Pelodiscus sinensis: one gene and its partner. The protein of the gene in region 1 binds, or shares a complex with, the protein of each later gene. Links are inferred from orthologs where the notes say so. Each region holds a gene or a part of one and is shown on either strand. Other genes may lie near its edges.

Region 1 (14,500 bases):
CGATTAACTGATAAGCAAAAGCTTATAGGTTAATGCTATACACTACACGCATCCCCACCAAAGTAAATTTTTTAGCAGCAACTTGGCTCAGTCCTGGCTAGCGACAGGTCCAGGACCTACCCCTGCTGCGGCTCTGCATTAAAAGTGTATTAAGAGCTAGGCTGGCAGGCAGCCCGGCTCAGTTTCAGCTCGCGCCAGGTCTGGGAGCACAAACCCCTCTTCCCCCAGATCGGGGCTGCTGCCACCTGTGTTGCTGCCTCTGTATCGGAGGCAGCAGCATGGGGCAGTAGGCAGCCAGGTACAGAGGCAGCAGCAAGGAGTGGCAAGGGGCTCCTTGGAAGTGGGGCCAGAGGCACTGGCTACCGGCCCTGCTCCTGGGTACTATAGAATAGTCAAGTAACCAATAAGAATTCATGAGGTTACTCGACTATTCCATTAACTGATATTTAACATCCTTAGATTAGAGCTGGTTTCCCTGAGTCAAGGCTCTTGTTCTGGTTCCTGCTTGGCCACTGTCTGTGTCTCAGTTTTCTCCATCTGTAAAGTGGGGATGATGCCTGCTGTTTCAAAGGGGGGTCAGAGACTGAATTAACTGCCTTGAAAAAGTGCTTGGAAATACTTGTCAGTCCTTGTGACCCTTGTACAAGCACAGGGCTGGCTGCGATGGGTCCACTGCAATGTGAAAAGCCATTGCTAGAATCAAGACACTTGCCCTGTTTGTCGTTTAATATCTGACAGTGAAAATCATCTGTCAAATCCTTTTCTGCAGGAGCCTTTGCTCCAAGACTTTCTATGGGCAATAAGCCCCTCAGTTTTCTTTCCCTCTTCTGTTCCGCATCCCCTGCAGTTGCTTGTGTCTGAGCACTAGATGGCAGCTTCCACTCAAGTTTGCAGATTACAGCCTGCTGCACTAAACTTCCTCTTGCATTTTCCTGCTCATACCTGTTAAACGAGTATGTTGCATGTTCAGTGTAATGCACTCCATGCTGCAAAGCCCGGGAACCTTCAGTCACCAGACTTGTTATTTGCATAGGAGCTTTGAAGGCATTTCCTACTAAACTTGACAACACATCATCAAGCTGGGAGGGAATGTCTGTAGATGACACTAAAATAGCAAATAGGTCTGCAGCACAGGTTACCTCAGGGGTGGACAATAATTTTTGCCTGGGGGCCACTTCAAAGCCACCCTGGAAGGGGCGGGGCCTAAAGGGGAAGGGTTGGGATACCCCACCTCCAGACCATGATTGGTGGGGGAGTCCCTTTACCCCCCACTTCCCACTAGGTACCCATGCCCTGAAAGAGGCTAGGCACACACCCCTACGCCAATCGGTCTGGGGGCGGGGGGACATGCAAAGCCTCCTCCCACCTTGCAAGGAACACATGGCACTTTGAAGTGCCACGGGCTTCTTGCAGGGCTGGGGCAGAGCAGCGGAAGCTTCACACGGCTCCCCCATTCCCAGGCCCTGATTGGCTTGGCGGTGGGGGAGCATGCGAAGCCTCCTCTGCTCTCCCCCCCTGCCCTGCAAGCAGTGTGCGGTGCTTCAAAGCGCCATGTGCTCCTGGCAGGGCGGGAGGAGGCTTTGCGCGCTCCCCTGCCCCCAGATCCTAATTGGCCTGGGGGCAGGAGAGCAGCAGGGCCTCCGTGGGCCGGATCCACCTGCTTGGTGGGCCGGATTTGGCCCATGAAGGCCCTTTTGCCCACCCCTGGGTTACCTCCTGCAGCCTGTGAATGATATAAGCACCTCTGCCATTCAAGTATTCATGGAGGAAAACACTGAAGAAGACTTAACCAGAGGGGTGTCCTTACACTGTTAGCCTGTGCTTGCTAGAGCTGGTTAGAAACATTTATTTTCCTTGTGAGAGAGCTGATTATATTTTTTTACCTGGGTCACTGACAGTCAAGCCTTTGTTTGCTGCTGTGGATTTTTTTTGCAGAGCTTTAATATGTAGCTTTCAAATGCCATGGGGTGTGGAGCAATATAATTAGCAAGACAGTATTCAGCAATGGTTCCTGCTTTCCAAGCTTGTTGATTCAGCAAAAGGTGGCCAGGTGAATTACCCACATTCTACCCTGTATCCTTCTCTGACCTCTCCGCTTTTAAACCACTTTCAGTGCCTTAACCTGGTTTAAAAGTGGGCTGAGGGGTGAAATTACTGCTCTTCTCTGCCTCCCAGGGGGGCTTGGTCAGCTGCCATCCAGCAATAGCTTGATTTGAAAGTCGAATGTAAAAATATTGCCATATTTCTGTACCTCTGGCAGCATCACACTACAACCCATAATGGTTCTCAGAGGGAGGGGGTTTGGAGATGGGTTAAACCTTATTGAAAGTGGTTTAGCTAATGTGGTTTGAAGGCTGTGTGAGAAATCAATTTCCAAATGAGATTAGTGCCAGTTGAGACTGAGTTGCTTGGCTTGGCTTGAGAACCCAGGACCATTTTTCCTCCCAGCTCTCTTCTGTAACCATGGGACAACCTCTTGTCACCAGCAGGCTCAGGTTCAGGAATGAAGGAAACAAGGAGTGTGTGGGGTGTCTTGAGTGGATCTCTTATCAAAATGGCCAATTTTTAGGCTCTGTTTTTAGAGGAAGAAGAAAAGGTGCAATGGTCTTTGCCTGTATGGTGCTTCTGCTATAAGAGGACCTTCCATGCCCCAGTTTGTCTTTCATAAGCCCCGACTTCCTCTCACACTCATATTTAGGTCACACCTACAGAGGCGTAGTGAAGGGGCTGCAGGGGGGGGCAATTGCCCCCGGGCACCATGCTAGGGGGACACCAGGCCGAGGTGAGAGCAAGTGCACGCTGCTCAGGCTCACCTGGCATGGGCGGCAAGTTTATGGCCATCCCCCTGGCCCTGGGCCATCACTGCCATGCACAGCATTCAGTTGGCTTCTCCTTGCCCGTGCACGCTGCGTACGGCAGGGACAGTCCGGAGCCGGGAGGGATGGCCATAGAACTCGCCGCCCATGCCAGCATTGTCAGCTGCCCCTTGCCTGCGCATGCTGTGAAGCATTTCCAGGTGACCGGGGAGACGCCCGGGCGTGACGTGACATCACGGTCTGGGACTTTAAAAGTGCTTGGTGCCGCGTGGTGCCAGCCTAGCTTCTGGTTTGGAGTACGGGGACTTTTGGGGCCTGAGTGCAGACTCCAGGCCCACAAAGTGGAAGACAGAAGGTACGGTATGGTACGGTATGGCAGGGCAGGGGGAAAACTAGGGGAAAGGGGTGGGAGAGGAAGGGGCTTGTGGGGAGGGGAGGGGAGGAGCTTGTGTGGAGGTGGAAGGGAGAGGGAAGATACAAATGGCAAGGGGCCAAGTTCAGACAATGAGGGAAAGGGCAGGAGGGGAGGTGTCAGTGGGAGGGGGGACAGGGTGATGCTGGGAGAGGAGAGGAGAGGGGAAGGGCATTATGGTCTAGAGGGGGAGGGAGAGGTGCTGGGAGAAGGCTTGAAAGGGGTGGGCATGAGAAAGGTGGGGATGGAGCAAGTCGTGTGAGGGCACAGGGGCATGAGAGGAATGGGGGCAGAGAGTGGAGAGGGGGTGGGCATCAGGGAAAAAGAGGGCAAAAGGGGCAGGGGCAGTGAGGGAAGGGGGAGCACCAGGAGGGTGCAGGGCTAAGGGAAGGTGCAGGTGCCAGGGTATTCTGCGGGTGAAGCAGAAGGGCAGACACCTGCAGGGAAGGGACGAGCACCAGAGGCGAGGGGCAGGGCAGGTGTGTAGAGAGAGGTGTTAGAAGAGGGGATGAGGAGGGGTAGCTCACCTGGAGGAGTGGGCACAGGAGGGAGAGAAGGGCTGGTGGAGGGGGAAAGGTCGTAGAAGGGCAGGAGTCAGGCCAGCAAAGGAGAGTGAGGAGTTGGGGGGCAGCAGGCACCAGGGGAGATGATGGAGCAAGGAGAGGAGACATGGCAGCAGACAGAAAAGGTAAAGGTTTAAAAATATTTATTAATAACATGGTATGCTGCCCATGGCCAGTTCGTTTGCGCCCCGCGGTGCAGTTTGGGTTTATGTGGGGATCAACACGTGGCTGGCAAGTGGGAGGCAAAACAAAAAAGTAGTCAGTGTAATGATCTTCTGTTGATGTGTGTTTTAGTAGTTAAATTCTTGGACTGTCATTGCTCATGAAAAGTGCTGTCACATGGGTAGAAATCAGGTAAATGTTGCATTTTATGAATATCAGCAGAGCTGACTTAAATGAGGCCTGTGTGTTGTGTAGTCTTGCCTTAATCTTTGTATTCATGCCTGTCAGTGTGAGAGAAGCTATTTGTATATATTTTCTTGCATATGTAACCACACTTAAGTTGAGGCCCTCAACATGTTCTGTAAGTATCAGTGTAGCCCCTGGGGCTTCCAAAGTTTAGTTGCCCTAGCTCATCCCTGACAAGTTGCCCTACCTCATCCCTCATCAGTCTAACCTGGTCTTAAATATCTCCAGTGATGGAGATGCCGCAATCTCCCTAGGCAATTTATTCCAGTGTTTAACCACCCTGATGGGCAGGAAGTTTTTCCTAATGTCCAACTTAAACCTCCCTTGCTGCAATTTAAGCCCATTGCTTCTCATCCTAACCTCAGAGGCCAAGGAGAACAATTTTTCTTCCTCCTCCTCATGATACTCTTTTAGATACTTGAGAGCTGCTCTCATGTCCCTTTTCGGTCTTCTCTTTTCCAAGGTAAACACAGCCAATTCCTTCAGCCTTGCCTCATAGGTCATGTTCTCTAGAACTTTCATCATTTGTGTTGATCTTCTCTGGACTTTCTCCAGTTTCTCCATGTTTCCTGAAATGTGGCGCCCAGAACTGAACATGATACTTCAGCTGGGGCCTAATGTAGATGGCTCAGTCCCTGCCTAGGGGACATGAGACTGGGCGGGTTAATTTCCAACCTCCTGTTTATTCTTTTCCTAAGCCAGGAGGCTTAGTTCTGATGGGGGCTCTGCAGGAAGGCAGCCTGCACTGATCCCTGCCTGAAACCTTGTGCAGGTGTTAAACAGCTGTCCAGCCCACCCTAGAGGTGACTGCATTTCAGCGTGCCTGAAGCAACACAGCACCAGCAGTGGACAGGAGAATGGCTCCCGGGCATGGCTTGCTCATGACTGCTTCGGTCCCATTGGATGGGCCTCAGCCTCTTTTCTTCCCCTCCCCTGCTTTGCAATGGGGCTGTAGACTCTGGGGGGAGAGGGGTGGAGGCAGGCAGAGGTGTCTCCCTGCAGCAGATGTAGACATGTCTCTGTATTAATCATTCTCTCATTGAAGTGTTTAGCTTTGTAGTGAGTCCTTTTACATATAAACTTTGTATTACGTCTTGGTAGAATAGTCCCTAGGACTAGTGAGGCAGAGACTGTCCCTGTGGGGTGAATGAGGTGGGAATGTAGAAGGCGGAAGGTGAGCACCTCTGGGCAGTTGCAAAGGTTGGAGAGGGGATGGAAGCCAGATCCGAGATCAATGAGCCCTGGGAAGTGGGCCCATTGAAAGGAGACTGGACCTGTGGATGCTTTGAGGGTCAGTAGCAAGGGCCTGCTTTGGGAAGCCCCCTCTTTGGAGGTGAATGTGGCAGCATTGAGACATCACCCAGAAGCAGGCGCCACAGACACTAACTGCAGATTCATGGGACGGCTCTCACAGATCTTGCACATGCATCAGATGATAGATCTGCAGGAGGGGGGGCAGTGGCATAGCGAGGGGGCCGGAGAGGTCAGTTGCCCCTGGGCACCATGCTAGGAAGGCTCCAATTTAATCCCATTCTGCTCCCTCCGTTATCCCTTCAGCTCACGTGCTCCTACTCTGCCTGCCACCGGCAGCTGGAGCCTCCTGCCTGCCTCGCTGCTCCAAGCCCGACCCCTCTTCCATCTCCACCGGCGGGTTAGTGCATGCGGGAGCCCGGCCCCAAACTGTAGTACAAGTTCCCCTCAGCTGTGCACCAGGTTCGGTGCTGTGCCACATGGCGATGGGGGGGGAGGGAGGGGCGCAAATTTTTCCTTTGCCCCCGGGCGCATAACACCCTCACTACGCCTCTGCACACCTATTTATCTGCAGGCACTGTCAGAAATGCACGAGAAGTTAGTTCAAAATCCAGCCCATCTGTTTTAGGTCCGAGTTTTTGTTTCCTTTTGGTTTTAGCATAGGAAGTTTCCACCTGTTAGGTTCCTTGTCAAATAGATGACAATGTGTGAACATGTTAATTGCTGTGAAGCTAAGTAATGAACCCACTGTTGTTGGGCAGGGGCCTCTGACCAGAAGCATCAGCAGGTAAGGGGTTCTTTCCTTTCAGGCGTTCGAATATTTTTCTAAATAGTCAGTAGAGGTCGCCAGTGGTCTATGCAAATCCTGCTAGTTCACTAAATCCACAACTAAATCCTGAAGGCCATTTGCAAAGGACATTTCTGGGTTCACGTACTCTCTTTATTCAATTCCTGAACCAACATATTCCTTTGTATGAGTAGGTTCCTTTGATTCCTACCCTTCCCTATCATTTGCACTGAGAGGGAAATTATCCTAGGCTACCATTTTCAAAGGAGTCTGTCTGAGAGTGTTAGGTGTCCAACTCCCATTAAAATGGGTACCTAACTCCCTTAGGTACAATTGAAATCCCAGCTTTTGTGAGAGGAGGATCCATCACTGCTGGAAAGAAAACCACTGTCTTTTCATGAAGGACCATGAGCCTTCCCTCTGAGCTACCCTAGGGATGGGCAGGCTCATGAGCCTTCATGAGTTTAAAACCTGGAACTGATTGTTTCAGAAACCTGGCAATCTTTAAGCACTGTCGCTGTGTTTGTCCTTCTCTGAAACAGAGATGGAGCAGTTCCCAAGGAGTTGACAATCGAAATGTCTGCTATAGCCAACAACAGGATTTATAGACCCTGCAAACAGCATAGAAAAACAGATGTACTCAGGGGGCTCAGCTGGATGGCTGCATTCAGAGAATGTGGGCAGGTTCCTGAACTCATGGTTTTGGAAAAGAAACATCAGGCTTGCAGCCCATGCTCTGGGAAGAGCAAATAAGCAGCAGTGAGACAAGAGAAATAATCCCCTGCAGGGCTTTCATTGGTACCTCTAAATCAAGTCAGGGAGTAAACCTTGTGTTGCCAGATGCCCAAGGCAAAATTATAGGGAACAATGGGTAGAGTGTGGTAGGATACAGTGGACTTTGTTGGTACATGGTAGACAACATAGATGAGGTTAGCCCCTAAACAGCCATAGAGTATTGTATAGCCAGTTGTAACCAAATGCAAGGTGAAGTTTATGGCTTGTCTACACAGGGAAGTTGTCCTGAAATGAAGTAGAGGGTGAATTTAAAGCATGATAGCTATTCTGGAATAACTCTCTATAGGGGCACTCTTTTTCTTGATATAAAAGTGTGCCTTTCCTGATTTAGCTTAATCTACTTTCAAAGCGGACTAGTTATTTTGGTCATTTTCCCTAGGTAGACAAGTCCTTGGAAAGGGTGTGTAAGATGGGTCAGGTGAGAGATCCAACCCGGGAAGCAACCTGAGGGAGGGTGTGTCTCCTAAATGCATGATGTTGCCAGGACAGAGAGCACAGAGCGAGAACACGTGACCTGAACAACAAACCATCGGGACTGCTTGTGTTTTACTCACAGAAGCTCAAGGTTTTATATAGTTTTGATAGTCTCTAAGGCTATGTCTAGACTACGGAGTTTTTCTGGGATACCACCACATCCAGGGAACACGTCTGCTCTTCCGACATTTTTTTTGGAAGAGCAGACACACTCTTTCGGAAGCCCTGTATTCCACATTTTATGAGGAATAAGGGCTCTTCCAGAAGAGGAGGTTTTCCAAAATTTGACCCCGTGTAGATGGACCTAATTTTGAAAAAGCCTCTTCCGAAAAATCAATCGGAAAAAGGTACGCAAGTTGCAGTGCGCAATTTGTGTACCTTTTTCCGAAAAAAAGCAGCAGTCTAGATGTAGCCTAAGGTGCTACAGGACCACTGGTTGTTTTTAAAGTTACAGACTAACATGGCCACCCCTTTGAGGTGGTGTAATTAGGGCTATGGTGGGCAATCCTGCTTGGTGGGCCTGATACTGTGCAGTGCATCAACATGTCTGCCAGGCCCCCTTTCCTTCCTCTGATCCCTCCCCTTCCCCCTTGGTGTCCCCTTTATTTCCTCCTTCCCCCTCTACCCCATTTCCCTCCTTCCTTCCCCCCTTTCTCCTCCTTCCTTCCTCTCTACCCCATTTCCCTCCTTCCTTCCCCCTTTTTCCTCCTTCCCCCTCTACCCCATTTCCCTCCTTCCTTCCCCCCTTTCTCCTCCTTCCCCCCTACCCCATTTCCCTCCTTCCTTCCCCCCTTTCTCCTCCTTCCCCCTCTACCCCATTTCCCTCCTTCCTTCCCCCCTTTCTCCTCCTCCCCCCTCTGTCTCCCCTTTATTACCCCCTTCCTTTTCCCCCTCTCCTCTCCCCCTATTCCCTCGCCCCGCCCCCTCCAAGCCCCGCCCCCGCCCGCTGCGTGCCCCGCCCCTCGCAGCCTCGCTCGGGCGCTAGCAGGTTCCTGTCATGGCCGCCGTGTGCCGCGGGCTCCTCTCGCCCTGAGCGCGCCGGGAGCGGACCCCCTCGCCCCGCCCGGTGCCGGTGAGAGCCCCGCGGCGACAAGCCGGCAGGAGGCGGCGGCCGGCCGGGGATGTGACCGGCCGGGGGGAGCCGGGGACTCGCAGCCGCCCCCCGGGGTGGGGGGAATCGCCCCCGTCACCCGCCTGACCCGTCAGTGGCCCCGCTTCCCTGGCGGGCTTGTTCCCTGCCCCGCTGGGGCCCCCCCGACCGGGGCTTAATCCCTTCCCCGCCCCCGCCCACGGGACTTTCCCCCTCCTCGGAGTAGGCCTTAACACTCCCCCCCCCCCCCCGCTGTGTGTCCTCTTCCCTCACCGGGGGTGTTGGATCGTCCCTCCCCCCCACCAGAGCGAGCTTCATCCCCTTTGTCTCCTTTTGCTCCTTCTCCTCCACCCCAGACTGGGGTTCGACACCCCCTCCGGGGTTTCTGTCCCTTGTCCTATTGGAATCCTTGGCCCTTGGGGGCCATTCAGGGCCTGTGGGGATTAGGGTTCTTGGCCTCAGACTCTCTTGCCAAGCCTTAGGAGCCAGAGCCGTACTACATAATTCACCAAGTAGGCCTTTTGCAGTGCTAGGCTCCCAGTTGGGATGAAGCCAGCCCCGTCACCCCAACTTGACCTTTTCTGGCTGCTGTGCAGAAACCTTCCTCCTGGAGAGCATCACTGGACTAGCGCCTCTTTCCTGCCACCAGCATCGACTGGACCAAGTAGAATGGCATTTGTATTTTCATGAACAATTAGGAACAAGCCCGGGTTGGCTTCTCTGCCTTATAAGCAGCAAGCTGGTGCAGATGGGTAGTTCATTACTTGTATTGTCACAATGATTGTTATTGTTTCTGCTCCAAAATGATCCCGAAGTGCCCATTCACTTTGTTCAGAGCATTGGAGAGGTAGCAGAAAACTTATCAGAGAAGGCAAACCTATTGGTCTTCAATGATTGCAAGTTCCTCTGAAATATCCCCCTTACTCAAAGGTCATTATGGATCCTCAAAGACTTTGAACTGTTTAATTGGAAATCTAAAATGACTTTGACACAGTTGATTCTCTCTCACTTTAATAATACTTGAAGCCAAATCACTGGCTTTTTGGCCTTTATTAACTAAGTGCTATGCAAAAGAAAAGGAAAAAAAGAAATCCTGACACTGATTGCAATGGGAATGACTATTTCCTGCCCTGGGTGGCCCTATATGTGGTTTTCTTATTGGTAAGATAAAGTAGCTCCCACTTACTCAGTGGAAGACTCATTACAAACAAGAAACTTTGGTAACACTTGTAACTGCTAAATAAATGGAACATCTTATAACAGAGCTTTGCATAAAGGCACCAGAAGAATCTTGTTGCAGTTTCTAAAGTGTTGAAAGAATCTGTGCACCTGACTGAACTCTGCTTAATGTGAGCTGTTTGCTGATGTGATAAACACAACGAACGCACACACCTAAAATATTTTACTTGCAAACTCTCAGCCAACCTGGAAGATCAGGGATCTCAGTCCTTACACTGCTTGTTCTGGGGAAGATTGCCTATTGTTACTTTATGGGGCAGCAGCCTGGAAAAGTTCTTGGGGACCAGAGAAGGCCAAGTCTGCCTGCCCTGCATTTTATCAAAGGAGCAGGGAAGAAAGAATCATCTAGGCATGGAGGCCCACACTGCAATGTCTTCGTGGAACATGGTAGGTGTTTTGATTTGTGGTCCTTTTGCTTTTAGTTAGCATATTAGGATACAATATTAATTTATTAAATTGTATGAAATGGTTTTAAAAAGAAGGGTTTTAGCCTTTGCGTTTTCCCTTTTCTGCTCCCTAAGGTTTCTGGTGACCTCTCTGTATGGTCAGCTATTAAGGATTTTTTTTTGTCATGGTTAGATTGCCATTTCCCAGGTTTGTGAAACCCCAGTGGGATTTCTTGTATAGCTAATAGCAAGGAAAGCAACTTCTTCATAATGTTGCTTAGGACAGATATTTTAAAAATGTTTTTGGTTTTAGGTTTCAAATTTTTGAATCTTTTGAATTTTTTTAGTAAAGGATTTGGATGATTTGACTCTAGAATGTCATAATGAACCTTTTTGCATTTATTTGAAGGGCAACTGAAATATATCACACTTCCGTTGAAACACTTGGATTTACTATACTAGTAACACCTTAGATAAAGAGAATTGTTTTGATTTTACATTGTGTAGTTGACAACTTTTGTGGATGCTCAGTTTTTCTGGGCTTCAAGGTAGCCAGTGAGGTCTCAGTCCTTTATTATGACGCTCTTGGAGTGCTAGCTTGTGCAAAGCATCTTGCCGGACTGGAAGCAAGTACCACCACCACCTTACGTTTATGTCAGGGTGACCAGATGTCTTGATTTTATAGGGACAGTCTCTGCATTTGTTTTTTCCCCCCCTTATAGGGACCCTCCCCGTCCCCCCATTGCTTGTCCCAATTTTTCACACTCGCTGTCTAGTCACCCTAGTTTGTGGGGGTCTTGAACCGGTAATGGGGGACAGAGAAATATTATTTTTATCCCTCCCCCCAAAAAGAAAACAAGATAGTGAGCTTTTGTGGCTGGTTAAATGTTTTTTTACTGTACAGTTGATTAGATTTCAAGCTATGTTTTCCCATTAGAAGAGAGAGACAGAAAGAAAAATATGTTGCTGAAATGTTTTTACTAAATCTCTATCCTGCACATTTGAATTCAGAAGATCTTCTGAGACAGCATGGTACTAACTAAGCTAGAAAATATGATTCTGACAATGGTTATTTAGCATTTTTATGCTACTCAGAGTAACTTTGTTCAAGCATGAGACAGATCAATATTTGCCATTTTTGTACTTCAGATAACTCTGAAATATTTGCTTTCTCTGGGAACACAGTTAAATAGCAGGTAAAAAAGTTTCTCAAAATAAATGTGCCCGAGGCTTATTTTGTAAGGACATTTAGTTTGCGAAACTTCTTCACTGTGAATTTCCCAAGGCCACAAGATCCAGAAAATTCAATATCATTTTTAGGATTATTTACAGATAGATGCTGTGGAAATAGTAAGTGTGTTAAAATATTAAAATCATCAATGATTAAAAATGATTTGTATTTCTCCCCTCTTCCCATACAATGTGTCTATGCAGTGATTGTTTGAAAAGTGAACCTAATTCTTGGGAAGCTGGATGATAAAGCTACAACAGCTCTGATATCAGTGGCATGTTCCCATTGCAGAAACACTCCAAACCAAGTACTTTATTTTTTTTAATCAAATACACATATGTGTCCCATCTCTGTTGCCTCTCTGCTTCTCTAGACAGAGCTTCAAGCTCAGATGGCATGGAGCAAGAAACAAAGCACTAAACTGCAAGTAGCACAGTATTCCAATCATGTTTGGTGTTTGATCTGAGAGACAAGGCAGAAATCCTGAATTTTGATCATTTAACAAGAATAGATCAAAAGATAACTTTTTGTCAGGAAGACATGAGGACAGAAGAACCCAGTGCGTTTACAAGAAAAAGTATTGTCTATAATGGCAATACTCCATATGTCCATAAGAAACCTCAATGTCTTGATTTTAAAAAAAGTACGTATCTTGAAAGGAAACCTCAAAATTCTTACATTGGTTAAGGGGCCTGCAAAAGTTCAGTCTTGCTTATCCGTATGAGAAAAGCATCTTCCCTTATAATACCTCTGACTGTGTCTACACTGGCACGATCTTGCGCAAATCGGACGCTCTTGCACGAAAACTTGCTGCCTGTGTACACTGGCTGCGTGTTCTTGCGCAAGTAAACTGGCGTTCTAATTTATGAAATCAGGGCTTCTTGCACCAGAACTCTGACGCTCCCATTCAGGAATAAGTCCTTTTGCGCAACTGTTCTTGCGCATGAGGCCAGTGTAGACAGGCAACATGAATTTCTTGCGCAAGAAAGCCCTATGGTTAAAATGGCCATCAGAGCTTTCTTGTGCAAGAGAGCATCTACACTGGCATGGATGCTCTTGCGCAAAAGCACATGCCAGTGTAGACGCTTTCTTCTGGAAGAGTTTTTGTACAAGAACTCTTCCGCAAAAGAGTTCTTGTGCAAGAAGCTTCCAGTGTAGATGTAGCCTCTGAGTATATGAAGAGGCTCTCAGTAGCATAGTAGTATTTAAGACTGCTGCTGTTTCTACAAAAAAAACAAGGAGACCTGTGTCCTCTTAGAGACTAACAGAATTATTAGGGCATAAGCTTTCATGGGTAAAGCCCACTTCATCTGATGAATTGGTGCCCCAGGACTCCTCATTTTTGCAGATACAAACTAACACAGCTACCCCCCCTGAATCTTTTTCACTTTGCTGTGTCTAGTTACTCATTCCTTTTTTTTTGTTTTGGGGGAGAGGGGGGAGAACTGGGCATAAAACAGCTCCTGGCTGAAACCTTGCCTACAAAATCTTTTCTTGGGAATGAATTATATATAACTTTAAAAAAATAGTCTAGCTGTTTAGGTTGTAGAGAGGGGAAAAATAGTTTAGGTGCTCCCCATCTCTCTCAAATTTGGTATCAGTTTTCTTGCTGTGTAAAAGAAAATAGTCCATAATCTGTCTGTACTGCCTTTTTTGGTATATTGTGAGAGAATGATTCATTATTTCAAATCCTACCAGTAAAAGATTGTGGATCATATTGTATAAAAACATTGAGATCCTTTTTAGGATTTTAAAATAAAATTGTTTGATATAATTTCTCTTTGGTATTTTCATTACATGGTTTCCTGTAAGATCTAAATCAGTGTATACATGTTCTCTACCATATAGTGTGTGCACCATCTGGTCTCAGAAAGTTAAGCGTCTCATCTTCTATTGTATAAACACATTTAAAAAGAACCTGAAGGCTGCGTTACCCAAGGTAAGGTCTCAAACAAGGGACCTATGTCTTAGTCGATAGCTGAGAGAGGAGCAGTTGGAGTGGCTTATCAGCCTCAGCAAAGTATGTTTAAAAGAATATTATATTTGGCCTCTGCACAAAGGTGACCTACTGAACAATTTTTAATATTCTGTTTATAAATCTCTTAGCAAAGTCCATGTCAGTCTATGCGTTTTAAAAATGATTCTGTCAACCTTAAAGATACAAAGAACAGAGTACCATTGAGTGGATATTATGTATGGCACATTGGTCACTCTTCCATCAAGTAGTGCCTTATTTAATAAGCTATCAAATTGATTTAAGCAGAACTACTTTCAGTGCTAAGTTCTATTTAATGTAAGACTGACAGAGTCATGTCTACAGGAATGCTTCACAACGTTTAAAATCTCAAATGCACTGTTAGTTACTTAGCAATGTGATTAAAGTATAAGTACTGTTGGATATCAACAATGTACATCAAAACAACTTTAATAAGAGCAATTCCATTGTTTAGCTATTGTTCATTATATAATGCCAATAATGTCTTAGATGCTCTTGATGTTTAAAAGAGCAAGTGATCAGACCTTTGGCCCATCTAAAGGTCATCCATTCTACTGGAACGATACAAAAGGGACATTACATCTCTCTTAAATAGGCAGCTGAAGCTTTGTCCATGGTGGGGGACTTCTCAGCTGGTATACAGCCACCATAGCTTTTAAGAGGCACGCAATAAAAATGGAATGACACGTGGCTTATTTACTTATCTTATGCATGTAAGACAGTTGAATATAATACAGCCATTTTATATTAAATACAAATTACATTTCACGGAATGCTACAGAACTCATGTCAGGAAGTGCAAAATTGAAGTTTTCATAATAACTCTGACTTGTTCTTTTTGCACACATGGAGCCTTTGTTTACCCTTGGTCATCAGCTGCTCAGTTCCTTTACAAATGAACTGAAGTCCAAGTGCATACCTAAGAACAGAATTAGGTTTGCTGGATGTTAATATGTAGATTTGGGGTAGTAATAAAAAAAACCATATGTCCGATGTGTGGCATTTAGCCTTCTTTATCAAGAGAGATTTAACCTTTTCATTGTTTGACTTCA
Region 2 (14,500 bases), on another chromosome or scaffold:
TCAGACCCAAACCTGCCCTTGACACTCACCCTAGCTCAGTGGTAGCCTAGCCATGGAACTCGGGAGCCTCCCTGGACCTCACTCACTGAACTGCCCAGTGGGAGCCAAGTACCAGGGCAAAGGAGAGCAGTGAATCTTCTGGTCGGCTAGCTGGGCTGCCCTGGATTTCGTGGTCCTGGCTCGTGGGACAGAGAGCAGTTGCTGCCTTTTGGGGCTGGAACGTGCCTTCCTGTTTTCTGTGCAGAGTTGAGCACAGGAAGAGCTGGCTGCCAGCCCCTGCTGCTCCCTATGTTGGAGGATGAGGGGGCTAAACATTGGCCCTGTGGAAGGGATTGCTAGGAACTCCTGTGCCAGGGTTAACCTGACCCTCAAGCCCCCTCACTGAACCATTTTGGGCCTGGCTCAAGTGCTGTTTGCAGCGAGGTTGCTCAGCTGATTGCTAGTAGCTGCCCCCACTTCCTCTTCCCCTAGGTTTTTCTGTGGGAGCCTCTGTAGCGGCTGCCACAGTGGGTCTCGTAACTGCTGTTAAGCGCCGGTGGCCTCCTGGCAGGCTGGGGAAGATGCTTGGTTTTGGAAAGTAGCAGTAACGGCTATAACTTGGGAGTGGGCTTTTTGCACCTCTGTTGCCTTGTGTCTCAGTGGGGCTAGCCCAAGGGCTGTGTGTCTACTGCCAGTACCCCCATTAAATGTCAGCTTGGGCAGCTACTGCAGTGCATGACGCACAGATTGTTTGGAGCCTCATTCCCAGCCAAGGGGAGGCCTTGCTCAGTGGATCCCATAGCAGACGGGTGTGACTGCTACTGGGGAGTTTCCTGACTACACAACCACTTCCCCTACACCTAGGATGCCTGGGAGGCCTCTGAAAGTAGCAGCTCAGCAAGCAGCTTCTTGGCCTTTGATCCCTGTGGAGTCTGGATAAAAAGTCAAAGGAGCAGGGCCATCATGATGTACCGCACAGAGACTCTCTCTGGGGTGGTCTCCGTGTCTTTGGCCACTGTTGCCTGTAAGCCTCTCTCTGCTTTGCCTATGTTCTAATCCCCCTGGGTCAAATATGGCCCAGGATCTAGGGCACTGGCTTGCAAAGGCTGAGCCCTGGGTTGTGCTCCTAGCTCTGCCCTGAGCTACAGAGTGACCACCCCTCGGTTTTCCCAGCTGACAAATGGGCATGATGCCGGGAGGAGATCTCTGGGTGCAGAGCAGTGTTCCCTGTAAGCTGCGCATGTGTGCGGCTGCTCAGGAGAGATTCCAATGAAGAATGTTAAAATGCATCATTTTTTTGTAACTGTGTAACTGAAATTTTGAGCGGTTATATGTTTTCATGGCGGGGGAGGTGGCTCAAACAGATCTCTGCGCTCTCCTTCCCCCGCTTCCTCTGATACAGAGGTAACAGCGTAGGGTGGGGGGCATTGCAGCTCCACGGGAGCTGGTACATGTATGGAGCTGGCTCCCCACATGTACAGCTCCTGCCTGCCCCCGTGCGTTGCTGCCTCTCATACAAAGGCCGCAGCATGGAGGGGGGCCTTTGTGTAGAACTGTGAAGGTTAATTGATCAGCCCAAGTTCATCAGTTAAATGTGTACATGATCATATCCCTAATTCAATCCTGCCCCATTGCTTAACAGAGCACCCACAGCTAGGTTTTTTGTTTCTACGGGAGAGGCACATTCACACACGCCTTGGTGCACACACACATTTATTTTGCACGTGGGTGGAGAAGTTTGGTGGGAACGCTGGTGCGGAGTACCATATAAGGCCTCAGGAGCACTACTTATTTTAGTCCTAGCCCATGCATGGGGATGGTCAGCTGGGTCACTTTTTCCTGCCTCTCTCCCTCCTTGACAATTCTGCAGTGTGTTTCTTTATACGTGCACATGCACTCTGACCACTTCCTGTCCCAGCTTCTGAGCTCTCGCACTGGCTGTGCAGGCTAGCTGCAGCACTCCCTGGCCCTCCACCACTCTCTGGACAGGCTGCTGCTGGCTGTGGGGGGTTGGGGATCATCTCACAAAAGGGAAAGAAAATCCTGGTCTAACAGATTATCTCCTTCGAGCATGCCAGTAAAATCAACAGGAGGGTAAGACCTGGGCCCTGTTGCCACATGTCCCAGAGCTCTGCTGCTACTGCTGCTGCAGGCTGCGGCTTGGCTCTGCAGAGGAAGGCACCAAGGGGGTTGCAAATCTCACAGCTAAGCTCTGAGCTGCCCTCTGTTCTTGGAGCAGCGCATTTGTGACACTATGTTCCCATGCCATTGGTTTGCAGAAGACGTGCGAGTGGGAGGTGCTGCAGTGCACCTTACAGCAACAAGGGTGGTGAACCCACTGCCACAGCCTCTCTCCAGGGTGCACATGCAACACCTAGGGACCCAGCATAAGCCCGCAGCACTGTGGGGGAGGAGGGAGTCCCCTTGCTGCAATGGCTGGGGTGCAGCGCTGGGATGGGGGGTCGCAGGACCGGAATAGCGGCAGGAGCTGCAGATGAGATACACTGACAGCTATTGGGGGAGATCATCCGAGACTGCCATTTATTATTGTAAGAGCCCCTAGAGGCCAGCATGTCTGGTGCCCTGTTGTGCAAGGCGCTGTACAAACAGAAAGTGACTGTCCTGCCTTATGAGGAGTGAGGTAGATGGGCAGCACTGGGGAGCAGTTGTGGCGGCAATAGAAGGGACTGTTGCTGGCCAAGACTGAGGTGTGTTGGCAGTGCTGCAAGGGCTGCACAGAAATAGCAGCAAGTTCAGGGTAGGAGGGTGATGCACAAAGGCCTGTGGGCGCAGTGTGGGGCTGGACTGGACTAGCAGGAAGCGCAGCAGATCGGGAGCAGAGCCGGGTGCAGAAGTGGTGTGCTGGTTTACTGGTAGTTTCAGGGGAACCGATGGTTTGGTTTGAACCAAATTTGAAAATTGCAATAACAGAAAAAAAATCAGCAAATGGAAGTAAATCCAGTCAGGCCGAAGAGAGCACGCTGCTGGACCCAAACCGTTTTGGTGCAGGCTGTTAGCCAGCTTCACAGAACAGGAGAAGAAAGTGCCCTCCCTATAAAAAAAAAGGCTGAAACTTGTAACTGTTAGCAGTTAGGGCATTTATCTGGCTCCCTCGCTTCCCAGGTTTATCTCCCCACTCCCCTTCCTGATGTGGAGAAGAGATTTGAATGTGGGTCTCTCATTAGCTTGGGAGAAGATCCTACCCACCAGATTAGAGAGTCATCCTCCCTTGGTTTTGCTGAGGGGTAGTCATTGTCCTTATGGATGGCCATGAATTGCCTCAATTAATAACAAGGGCTAGTCATTGAGTGGGGGTGGAGGGAACCATGTGACTGACTCCAGTGCAGAGGTTAGGGCACATGCCTAGGCAATAGGAGAAGCCAAGTCCCTGCTCCATTGGCTAATTATTTACACAACGTGGAACAGCTTCAGTAGGAGCTGAGACTACCCCGTATTGCCTCTTGCTCTGGAGCTGGGCTGTTCCTTGTAGGGTGAGAGCACTAAGTTTGAATCTTTTCTTCACACCAGGCCGAGGGGGGTCTGAACCTCCCACAAGGGAGCACCTTGGCGACAGGGGGGCTAACAGAGGCCGGGGTTCCCCATTTTACGATGAGCACTTCAGTGTCAAAAAAACAAGGGCAGACCCTGGTTAGTGCATCTGTGTCAAATTCACCAGTGGGTTTGAGTGGACTGGAGCTGTACTTTGTGGTGATGTGAATCAGCTCATCTGCCCCAAAGCCAGGCAGGAAAGGCACGGGCAGAGTGGGCCGGGTATTCCAGGTCAGGTACAGCAGGGGGGCTGAGGCTCATGACTGAGGTGCATTGGCAGAGCTGTGAGAAGCCAGCATGGCACCTGCCTTCTCCATCTCTGCCTCTCGCTAGTGGAATGGATTTGCAGGGTCCCCGCATGAGTCTGCCAAGGCGTATGGAAGGCAGAGTAGGCACCGGTGGAAACAGCGGGTGGGAAACGAGAGGGAGAGTGTGTGGGCCCCATGCTCTGGTTAGGCTGTGGCGGGTGCTTGTTCTGCCTTGTTACATGTTTGCTGTAATAATATTTCCCCTTTAAGGCTTGGCTGAAGTTATTTATACTTGCGGGGTGGTGACAGGAACAGAGAGCAGCACCAGGAGCCCTGACTGCTCTTACCTGCTTGGCGATGACGGGGTGGGGGTGAGGGTGGGACTCAGACCAAAGAGGAAACAGAGGAGAGAAGGAGAAGGAAAGAGAAGTGAGAGAAGGAGAAAAGGGAGGCAGGAAACCCAAGAGTGAGGGAAGCGGGGCAGGGAGGAGAGAAAAGGGCGGGAGTCCGAAGCCAAGTCAGAGTGAAGAGAAAGAGGGGGAGAGGAGAGAGGGAAGTAGAGAGAAGCGGGCTGTCTCCTCCCATGACAAGTGCAGCTGGCTGGCGCTGAGTGGGGGGGGTGGCCGGTGCTGTGCTCTCCTCTCCGCTCCCAAGATGATGAAGAGGCAGTTTAATCGGATGCGGCAGCAGCTCTCCTATCCCAGCAACACAGGACGGTAAGGACCCAGCCTTAAGCCTTTCATCCTCCAGCTGGTGGGGCTGACGGGAGGGCAGGAAGCTGCACTGGAGAGCATTTCACAACCCCTCCCCTCCAGCCTTTCAGCGGCACATGGGCCAGAGACCCAGCGCTGCCAGGAGCCAGGGCAGGAGCTGTGAGGACCACCCAGGCCCTGGGTGGAGTGATCATGGGAGGGGCTGGGGGAGCTGAGAGCAGCCTGTTTGGGGAAGCTTTAGCTAAACCCTAGGAGGACTTGGTTAACTCAGACTTCCCCTAGCCCTCTTGGCTGGGGGAGTTGGTGGGACACAGCAATGCTGCTCCGTAGTGACTCCCGCTGGTCCTTTAAAAAGCCAGGTTAACAAGCAGGGGCTGGCTCCACTTGTCCTGCTGGACTGAGCAGTGGGGCCCCTCTGTCCTGACTGGCCCTGGACGCTCAGCTGCGACGGTGTGACTCAGACCCATGTCAATTAGGACAGGTGTTGACCCTAATCCGGACAGGTGAGGCAGGGAGGGCCTGTCACATTGTGCCCCTCTGTGGGGAAGCAGGGCAGTCACAATCTGGGGCCAGGGAAGTGGGGACGTCAGCAGCAGAGGGAATCCTCCGGCCCCATTGGGGGAAGAGAGGAAGATCAATGCAGGAGGAGAAACAAGACTAAAGGCACATTCCCTGCCAGGGTTTCCCTCCCTCCTGGGCCCATCTGGAGCTGAATCCTACACACGGTGGCAGGGGAGCTTCCTCTTGTGTCCGTCAGGGTCTCAGAAAAGCCTGCCTGAGGAGGTGAGGGGTGGCGGTAGGCTAGTGAGAGAGGAGGGGGCTCTGGGCCTATGCGCTGCTCTCCTTTCCTCTCTGGCTCTCTAACTACATTTCCATTCCGGCCGCTCCCCAGCTCAGGGCCACCTCTGCTTTATTGTTTTTCTCTCGTCTAATTGTTCCCCTTGCAAAACCTTGGGAGCCCTGGCAGGGCTGGGCTCGCCGGTCTCTGCTCCAACCCACACACATATTTTGTTGTTTTAATGTCAGGCAGTTGAGAATGGCTTCAACCCACCTCACTGTTTGCCTGAGGCCAGGGAAGTGGGTCTTTCACTGGGAGTGGTAGGTATTTCTGCAGCTGGCTCTTTCCTCCTTCCTCTTGCCTTGCCCCAAAGCAGACCCCTCCCTCAATTCCCCCTCACCTCCGTAAGAACTAGGGCAGTGGCAGGGCCTCTCTACTCCCTACCTCCTTTGCACTGATCAGGAGATTTTAGGGTCCAAGATCTGCCCAAGTGCCTAGTGATTTTCAGTGCACAACCCCAAGGTGTCTTGAAGGGCCCTGGTTATTAGAGGGCAGGAACTCACCATTCCCTGTCAATCAAGTGTCTTTTGTGAGGTGCCCCAAATCACTAGGTGCTTCTGAAAATTTTGGCCTAGATCCCTTATTTAGCAGAGAAGGAACCTGCATGAAGTCTCCCAGTGCTGTTACTGCCCCACGCTCCCTTGGCTCGCAGGCTGGGAGCCATTTTCATGCTTCACATCCTCTGTCCATGGGCTCACCTGCAAGCTCCTCTTAACCCGAGACATGATGACCCGGAACCAGAGCAATGGGGTTTGGTGCCCTCCCTCCCGAAGAGCCTGGTTGGAGGCCACCAAATGTAATGAGTCTCTCGCTCTCCCTCCCACTCTTTTCCCCAGAGCCCAAGAAACAGCTGAGCTCCTGACTGAAGACTTGCTGCAGGTGAGGCCTGGGTTCAGTCCACAGGCATGTGTGGGCCTGTGCCTGCATGTGGGGCAAACATCTGGTGTGCCTGCGTGTGAAATACTCTCTCTCTCTCTCTCTGTGTTTACCTAAGTCACAGGGCAGCCTCAGCCTGGATTGTTCTGTATCCTGGAACGATGCCTACGTGCAACAGTGGGGGCCAGACCTCTGACAAGCCTCCCTGATTGCATCAGGGGGAGACAGAGTAAGCCTCAAGCCTGAGCAAGGCAGCCCAATGCTTGGTGGGCCTTGTCTCCCATGCCAGCTCTGCCACTGAGGCTTTCTCTGTACTATGTCCTGAGCCATGTTAGGGAACCCTAGTATCACTCAGCCTTGGCCACACTGGAATGTGGGTTGGTTTTGCCTGTGGAGACCAGACAAAACTGTTATAACCTCATAAGGAAACTGACGTAGCTCTGTCTGGTCTCCACAGGCAAATCAAGCAGTGGTAGAACAGGGGCACTATGCAAACGGGCTGTGCTTGTAATGTAGGTGTACAGCTGATGGACAGGTGGGATTGAACCTTGGTCCTTAGGGGAAAAAGCCATGAGCCTCTACTACTTGAGCTAAAAGCCATCTAGCACTTAGCTAAGGCTTTAAAGCAGATGTCTCTCTCCCATACATAGGCAAGGCCTGACAGTCCATCTTCTCTGGCAGTGGGGTGGGACAGAGAGACAATGCCTCATCAGGCCCCCACAAGACACTAGAAGAACGTGGGTGGGTGTCAATAGGCAGAGAGGGTCCCACTGTGCCCTCCACATTGGAGGAAAGGAAGCTGTCTTTCCTCAACGGGCAGCTGTCTCCACAGCTAGGAAACCCCAGCAGAGAGACCCCACGGCAGCCCTAGAACCTGGTACACTGAGGAGTGGCTGAGGATGGAAAGCTTTCCCCCAACCCCTCCCCCCATTTCCCAGTCTCTCTCCCTCTCTCTAGATTGAGCAGCGAATCGAGCCAGCCAAGCGGGCCGCGCACAATGTGTCCAAGAGGCTCCAGGCATGCCTGCAGGGGCAGTGCGGTTCAGAGATGGACAAACGTGTGGTAAGCGCCTCTGCCCGCTGCTCCCCGCTAGCTGTGCTGCCTCGGCAGCCTGTACAGGAAGTGGCTGTCAGCTCCTCCCACAGCAGTCTGCCCCAGCCGCTCTAGGAGCAACTCTGTTGGATGCAAGATGCTTCTACGGTGCAAAGCGCCACCCGAGACTTCCTGCGTGTTGCAGCTTCACATCTATTCCCCTGCACCTTGGAGGGTCTGGTCTGTGCTTTGGAGAGGTTGGGTGGGGGGTGCGATGGGGCAGTGGAGTGCTGAGCTTTCCCAGCTAGCTCTCTGCTTCTGCTAGAGCCTGGGGGTGCGCCTGGCTCTTACCGGGGGCCAGGAGTGGAATAGAGAACGTTTCTCCCCAAAGTCACTGTTCTGATCTGCTCCCCCATTGGGACACAGCACTTAGGGGGCCTGAGTTTGGGAAGCTGCATGTGCAGAGCACTATATTGCACAACCTTTCACCTCAGGGTCACCTATTCCTGTCTGAGATTAACACACACAATAGTAAAAACTTAAACAACAACAAATAGTCTGGTAGCACTTTATAGACTAACAAAACATGTAGCTGGTCATCTGAAGAAGTGGGCTGTGCCCACAAAAGCTCATGATACCACCTTCATGTTTTGTTAGTCTTTAAAGTGCTACCAGACTATTTGTAGTTTTTTAAGTTTATCCTGTTACAGAATAACTCGGCTACCCCCTAAAGCTTTTGAACACACAATAGTGATCAGTCTTCTTGTGCACTTGGCACTACAGCCAAGCTGGCCATTGCATTCCAGGGAGTAACTTGGCTACCCTCATCTATGGAAACTGCATTGGGGCTCAGCGTGTCTTCTCGGTGACTGTGCTTTGACCGCCCATGTAGTGTGCCTGTCCTAGCGTGAAGATGTCCTGATCAATGTTCCCTCTAATCTTTTCCATCCATTTGTGGATTTTTTCCACCCGTGTGCAGAATAAATGTTGTTATGTGCACGGAGGCATGCGTGGCCGTGCACCACCAGGAGAAACAAAGAATCTAGCTGTGGGCGCTCTGCTAATCAGCTGAGTGGTGTTGGAATCTCTCCCGAGTGGCCACACAGGTGCTCAGCTTACAGGGAACTCTGGTCTAATCACACTCCAGTAAAGGGAATTTCTTCCTCCATGACCCAGCCCCCTCCACTCTAGCATTCTAGGATGAGGCTCACAGCTCCAGACTGGATGCTGAAGGAGGACTTTGCACTCCAGGGCCCTTCATTGGGGAGATGGGTTGGTGAGAAAGAGGCAGGATGGATCATACCCCTCGTGTCTCTCCCCTTGGCTTCAGCTTGGCTGGCCCTGCCCTCAGCAGGGTGTGGTGCTGAAGGTGTCAGTCACACGTTGGTGGGGAAGGGGCTCGTTGGGGGGGAAGGGGCTCTGCTTATGGTTTCCTTCCCCCCTTTCTCTCTCCTCGGCTCTGTGCAGAAGAAGCTGCCCTTGATGGCTCTGTCCATCACTATGGCTGAGAGCTTCAAAGAACTAGACACCGATTCCAGCCTCGGGTAAGTGCCCCCAGGGAAGAGACAAAGGAGCCCTGAAAAGTATCAGTCCATACTGTACACCAGGGCACCGGTCCCAGGGTTCATGCTCCCAGGCTGAGCCTCTGAGCTCTCGCATCGAGGTTCACGCTGCCCAGCCGCACGGCAGCCTCCTGGTGACAGGATTCCCACTCTGCCTCTGAGCGCACACACTGGGGGATTTGTGCTCTCGACCTGTGGGTGCAGCAGGATCTGGGAACTGGTTCCTGGGATTGGCAGGGCCTACCTCCCTGGTGCAGAACGCTGGGGCGGGGGTGGGGGGCACAGTATTTTTGAGCCTGCTGTGATTCTCCCCTTCTATGCCTGCAGAAGAGCTCTAGAGATGAGCTGCTTCATACAAAGCATGCTGGCCAAGGTCCTGGCTGAGTTTGAAATCACCTTGGAGAGGGACGTTCTACAACCTCTGAATAAACTGAGTGAGGTAGCCCTGAGCACACTCCGCCTTTCCTTTGCTTTCCCCCTTCCCTTCTTTGCTCACTCTCCCTCCCTGCTTGTGCTCTCTCCACTCCCTTCTCCCCACTCTCCCATTGTGATTGCACAAAATGCAGCCTTCACGCAGCCAGGCCTGGCGCATGGGTGGGGTGTGTAACAATCTCCCAATCTCCACTAGGAGGAGCTGCCTGTCATCCTGAAGCACAAGAAGAATCTTCAGAAGCTGATCTTGGACTGGAACTCCATGAAGAGCAGGTATTGAGCCGGGGGGAGGGTGGTGAGTGGCAGCAGAGACCCAGATGATTGCCCCCTTGAGAGTGGGGATGGGGGAGGATGCTGACAGCTGCACTCTCAGAGCAGGGAGGGTCTATATCCCGGACATGCAAGGATGACTCCAGATGCCATGTGCACTCATAGAATCATAGAACACTAGAACTGGAAAGGACCTCAAGACATCATCAAGTCCAGTCCCCTGCTCTCACAGCAGGACCAAGCACCATCTAGACCATCCCTGATAGATGTCTGTCCAACATGCTCTTAGCTAAGAATTCCTCCTTCCCCCTCCCCCCAAGGCCCCAAAAGGGATGAATGTGAAGCACCTTTGAATTCTTTGTTCCCTTCCTTCCCCTTCACACCATGATTCCCCTGGGCAATTTTTAGGGAGTGAACTTGACACTCTGAAAGCCTTGTTTCGAGTGTTAAAACTGAGTAAAAAGGGCTTCCAACGACCCTTTTCCTAAGCACTGATCCACAGGGAAAACACAGAGCTTTCTTGGATTAAGGCCCTTCCTGTTAAAGGCAGACCAGGCAGTTGCCTATGGCAGCAAAATCCTCAATGCCTACTCGTGTGGGTGGTGTAGGGATTATTTGCCTGCATGCCCACGGCCCCTAGGACAGGTCCTAGTTCCAGGAGAAGTGTGGGGGAGGGAGGGAGTTTCTCTATGTTATGTGCTTTGTAACTCTGAATGAGCAAATCCTCTGCCTGGGGCAGGAATGGTGCCATGGAGGGTATAACCCACAAGCCAACGCTCTGTCAAGGCGGGAGAGAAGGACAGCCCTTCTGCTTCTAGGCTCATCTACCTATCCGCCAGAGTTTTGATGTGGATGGAGGGTCTGTGCCTATCTGTGTACAGTGTCAGCGCCCCTAGTGTTGAATGCTGTCAGGTTACAAGTGTGTCAGCCCAATTCTTCTTTTATAACCCAAAGGCTGAACCAAGCTGTCAAGAGCTCCAGTAACAGCGCTGGCCCTGGCCCTGGCCCTGGGGGGTCCTCTGCTGCCATTAAACTGGAGAACCTGAAGGATGAGGAAGAGGAGGTGAAGCGAAGGGTGGAGCAGTGTAAGGCGAGTGGAAAGCGAATCTGCACTCTTTGGGGAGGGGAAGAGATGACGCAAAGAAGGGGAAAGGAGGCCAGGTCTGGGATCATTCTGCCAGCTGCGTACCAATCCACTTGACTCCAATGGAGATGTCCTGGAAGGCCCCGGTAGCCAATCACTAGTTACAGTCTACAGCTCTGTCTAGAGTGAGAAGGTTGGTCCAAATGCAGCCCATCCCAGTAGCTTGTTGGCCTCAGTAAGATGGCTGTGTCCCAGATTCCTGAGGGGATAGACAGCCGGCAGACTCCAGTACCAGCCCCAGGCTCTGGTGTAACAGGTTTAAAGCAGCAGTGTGGTAGTCAGAGTGTAAAGCCACTGTGGGAGAGCTTGATAGGGTGCTTACAGACACAGGCCTGGCTCTCAGCAGATCTGAATTCAGCTCCCAGCTCTGCCACAGACTCCTTGTGGGACCTTGGGTAAGTCATGTCAGCTCTTTGGGCCTCTGTTCCCTGGAGATGACAGCCCTGCCGTCCTCCCTGCGTGTGTCTGTCCTGTCTACCCAGACAACGAGCTCTTCCGAGCAAGCAAGGGCTGTCTTGTGCAGCACCCAGCGTAACAGCACCCACCCCAACCCTAATACCAAATCAGGAACGTAGGGACTCATTTCCTGGGGGGGGCTGAAGGGAGAATGCAAATGCTGGCTCAAGTAACCCCAAATCTAATGAGCCGGACTCTGCTCCTCTGGGCTGCTGTCTTTGCCTCCCCTCCAATCGCCATTAAGATTCCAGGCTGCCACTTGTGATTCCCCCTCCCCTACCCCACACCTCTTGGTGTAGCCTGACAGGTGATCTGGCTATGGGAGCGCTGTCTGTGTGGGAGGAGTGTGTGTGTGTGTGGTGGGGGGGTGGTTAAAGAGGAGGTCTGCGGGGGAGAGTCCCTTCCTTGTGGTGGTGCTGAAGAGAAGGTTATTGTGTGCTGTATTTCCTCTCCAGGACGAGTACATGGCTGACCTCTATCACTTCTCCACCAAGGAGGACACCTATGCTAACTACTTCATCAAAGTAAGTCCCTTCCCTGCATGCTGTTCCCTCTGCCCATCTCCTTCCCGTTGCGTGCCGAGTCCACTACATCTCCATCTTGCGCTGGCATCCTCCCAGTCCCATGATCCCACCAACCCACCACTGCTGGTGAAAGAGGCGTCTCCCTACAGCTCTCACTCCGTCCTCACCACTCTCCTTTGCACTGCACGTCCTGCCCGAAAGCATCGGGCGGTGTCTCTGAGGTGCCGAGTAAAGCTGGGTTTCTCTGTGGTCTGTCTGGCAGCTGCTGGAAATCCAAGCTCAGTACCATCGGAAGTCTCTGGAATCCCTGGACACCGTCTTGGCAGAGCTAAAGGAGACCCATGGCCAGGCAGGTGAGTAGGAGGAGCCGGGCTGGGGGAGGCAGGAGATTTTGTGGGTGGCAGAGCAAGTAGCTACACACACGGTAGATTCACTCCACTCCTTCCTCAGGGTCGCTCTAAGCTCCCACTGAGCCTGCTTGCTGGGGAGTTCTCCTCCTCTTCTCCTTACCCTGGGTTTATACACACACAGCAGGGGCAGAGGGGCCGGTGTTGTGCTCCACACTGACCCCTGCTGACGTATCCCAACCCTTGCTGGAGAGACCAAAGCTAAGAATGTGAGATTCCCTCCACTCACTGTCTGCCACCTCCCAGCGGGGACTGTGGATCAGAGGGCAATTTACAGCCAGTTGCGGTGAAGGCGGTTTTGTGATATGGATCCCCGTTCCCGCTAGGAGATGACCTCATATCCCTCCACTCATTTCACATGGGGCTGGCTGGAGGAGCACTGATCCCTCTTCAGCCTGACTAGGCGAGAGACTCCAGTGGGGGGGTGTCCTCCAACCCTCCATTTCTCTGCTCCGTTCCAGAGTCCCCTTTCCCCCTGGATACACCGGTGTTGGGATATTATGGGGTGTCGTTGGAGACGCACCTGAGGACTTTGGATCGGGAGATTGCCCTCCCCATAGAAGCCTGTGTCATGATGTTGCTGGCGTCAGGCATGAGGGAAGAGGTAGGTGCCGCTTGCTGCCCAACTCCTCCCCCCCACCCCCCGGCCAGTCTGTCCAGCCCTCACACTCTCTCTCGCTTGTTTCCTCTAGGGACTTTTCAGGCTGGCAGCAGGGGCCTCGGTGCTTAGGAAGCTGAAGTGCAGCTTGGCCAGTGGCTCCAACGCACTGGAGGAATTCTATTCTGACCCACACGCTGTTGCAGGTAGGTGCTGGAGGCCCAGGGTAGGGGCACTGGAGACATTGTCTGGACAAGCGACAGCCCCAGAAGTGTGGCTTTGTCTCTAAAACAGTGGTTCTCAAATTGTGGGTGGGCTCGTGAGATGATTATGGGGAGGGTGCAAGCAGTCAGCCCCTGCACACGAGGGGCCTCTGACCATCGGCTCCTGCCCACAAGGGGGCTCTGGCACAGCCATGTGTAGGGCTGACGGCCGGAATTCTTCAGAGAGGGCAGCTAGAGGACAGCAGCTGCTGGCTGAGAGCCCAGCTCTGAAGGCGGCACTGCCCCCAGCAGCTGTGAAGAAATTAAGGTGGCATGGCATGAAGGGCTCATCGCTGCCAGAAATAATTTCAAAACAGGTCCCAGCAATAAAAAAAAAACATAGTTTGAAAACCCTGCTCTAAATCATGACCCTTTGCCTCTATCTCAGGTGCACTGAAATCCTACTTGCGAGAGCTGCCCCAGCCCTTGATGACCTTTGAACTCTATGAGGACTGGTTTAAAGTAGCCTGGTAAGAGAGAACTAGAGAAAGGGGCATTCTTAGGCAGGCTAAAATCATCAAAAAGGACCTTTCTGAGTATGGATTCTTCAGCAGGGGGGTCAAACATGGGGCCCCCAGGCTAGATCTGGCCCACATGATGTATTGAGAGCGTTCTGCCCAGAAGCACTGGTGACTGCATTGATCACCAGCATCTCTGAGACTGGGCAGCATGCACTTGTCCATTCACATGACTGCCAGGAAGAGTTCATCTGAAGCCCTCCTCCAACACAAAGAGGGGTTGTGAATCAACCCTGGGAGTTTGGACTGAGTGGGTGGAGGGCTTTTGCTGAACAGTGTTGTGTTTGTGCATGTAGCGAGGGAAGCAGTCACTGAGAGCAGGATGTTTAGACAGTCTCCCCTAGGGAGAAGCCTGGGGAGAGGTTTTAGGGTCAGGGGGCAAACTGAAGGAGTGTTCTTGGTACTGTGAGCAAAAGGTGGTATTTCCAACTATGTGAGTTCTTCTGCAGTTTGAGGCACAGGATTTTGTACTTCCTTCATTGTAATTAAACAAAACTACATAAAAATACCTGACTGCCACCAATTTCTGCTCTCCACTGGACCGTCCACCAGGACCTCAAACTTTGATTAGCCTCCTGGGGTTATGTGAGGAGTGGGATCCGGTTTCCAAGGAGAGAGCATGTGAGCCGGTATTTCTGTGGAATCAAGATGGAACAAAACATGGAAAAGGCTTGCAGTAATCAAAAATAGCCAGCAGCGTTTAAAACAAGCCCTAAAGCGGGGGTGGAGACTTCCCAAGAGGCATTAGGACAAGAGCTGAAGGTTTCCCAGAAAGGGCTGAGAGACAACTTGCAGGCCAAGATGAGATCCCTGTTGGAGCAGCAGCTATGAAGTGCCTGGGCAGTTTGGCAAAGCCAGTTGGAATGGTGAAACAGATTGATGAGGTGACCAACAACTGGACTGCCATAGGCAAACCAGTGGAGACTAAGCAAGCTTTAACCAACTGGGAATCTGCTGAGATGAACTGCAGTGCGGTCTTAAGGAGCTGACAATTCAGGTGCAGAGGAAATCAAAGGGTTGCTGACCACAGAGGAAAGCCGATGCCTGGATTAAGAACTGAGCCAGCTAGAGGATGTGGGTAAGACTGGATA

What was found.
Region 2: the proteins of ABL1 (region 1) and SH3BP1 are in contact, whole or in part, in a crystal structure (PDB 1ABO), measured with the Mus musculus proteins. The link is inferred for Pelodiscus sinensis from reciprocal best matches to the Homo sapiens genes ABL1 and SH3BP1. Residues at the interface, in NP_033724.2 of Mus musculus: Tyr70, Phe72, Ser75, Gly76, Asp77, Thr79, Asn94, Glu98, Trp99, Trp110, Pro112, Asn114, Tyr115; in NP_001303613.1 of Mus musculus: Ala607, Pro608, Thr609, Met610, Pro611, Pro612, Pro613, Leu614, Pro615, Pro616.

Annotation. Positions count from the first base shown.
Region 1 is NC_134732.1:13,781,267-13,795,766, forward strand, and holds the start of ABL1 (tyrosine-protein kinase ABL1), read left to right. Parts: upstream 1-8,476; 5' UTR 8,477-10,086; coding exon 10,087-10,222; intron 10,223-11,655; exon of another isoform or gene 11,656-11,728; coding exon of another isoform or gene 11,729-11,759; intron 11,760-14,500. UniProt on the Homo sapiens protein: Non-receptor tyrosine-protein kinase that plays a role in many key processes linked to cell growth and survival such as cytoskeleton remodeling in response to extracellular stimuli, cell motility and adhesion, receptor endocytosis, autophagy, DNA damage response and apoptosis.
Region 2 is NC_134711.1:92,433,483-92,447,982, reverse strand, and holds the start of SH3BP1 (SH3 domain-binding protein 1), read left to right. Parts: upstream 1-4,153; 5' UTR 4,154-4,430; coding exon 4,431-4,492; intron 4,493-4,540; exon of another isoform or gene 4,541-5,587; intron 5,588-6,163; coding exon 6,164-6,206; intron 6,207-7,160; coding exon 7,161-7,265; intron 7,266-8,702; coding exon 8,703-8,779; intron 8,780-9,124; coding exon 9,125-9,236; intron 9,237-9,425; coding exon 9,426-9,502; intron 9,503-10,453; coding exon 10,454-10,589; intron 10,590-11,554; coding exon 11,555-11,623; intron 11,624-11,885; coding exon 11,886-11,976; intron 11,977-12,491; coding exon 12,492-12,634; intron 12,635-12,722; coding exon 12,723-12,834; intron 12,835-13,279; coding exon 13,280-13,361; intron 13,362-14,500. UniProt on the Homo sapiens protein: GTPase activating protein (GAP) which specifically converts GTP-bound Rho-type GTPases including RAC1 and CDC42 in their inactive GDP-bound form.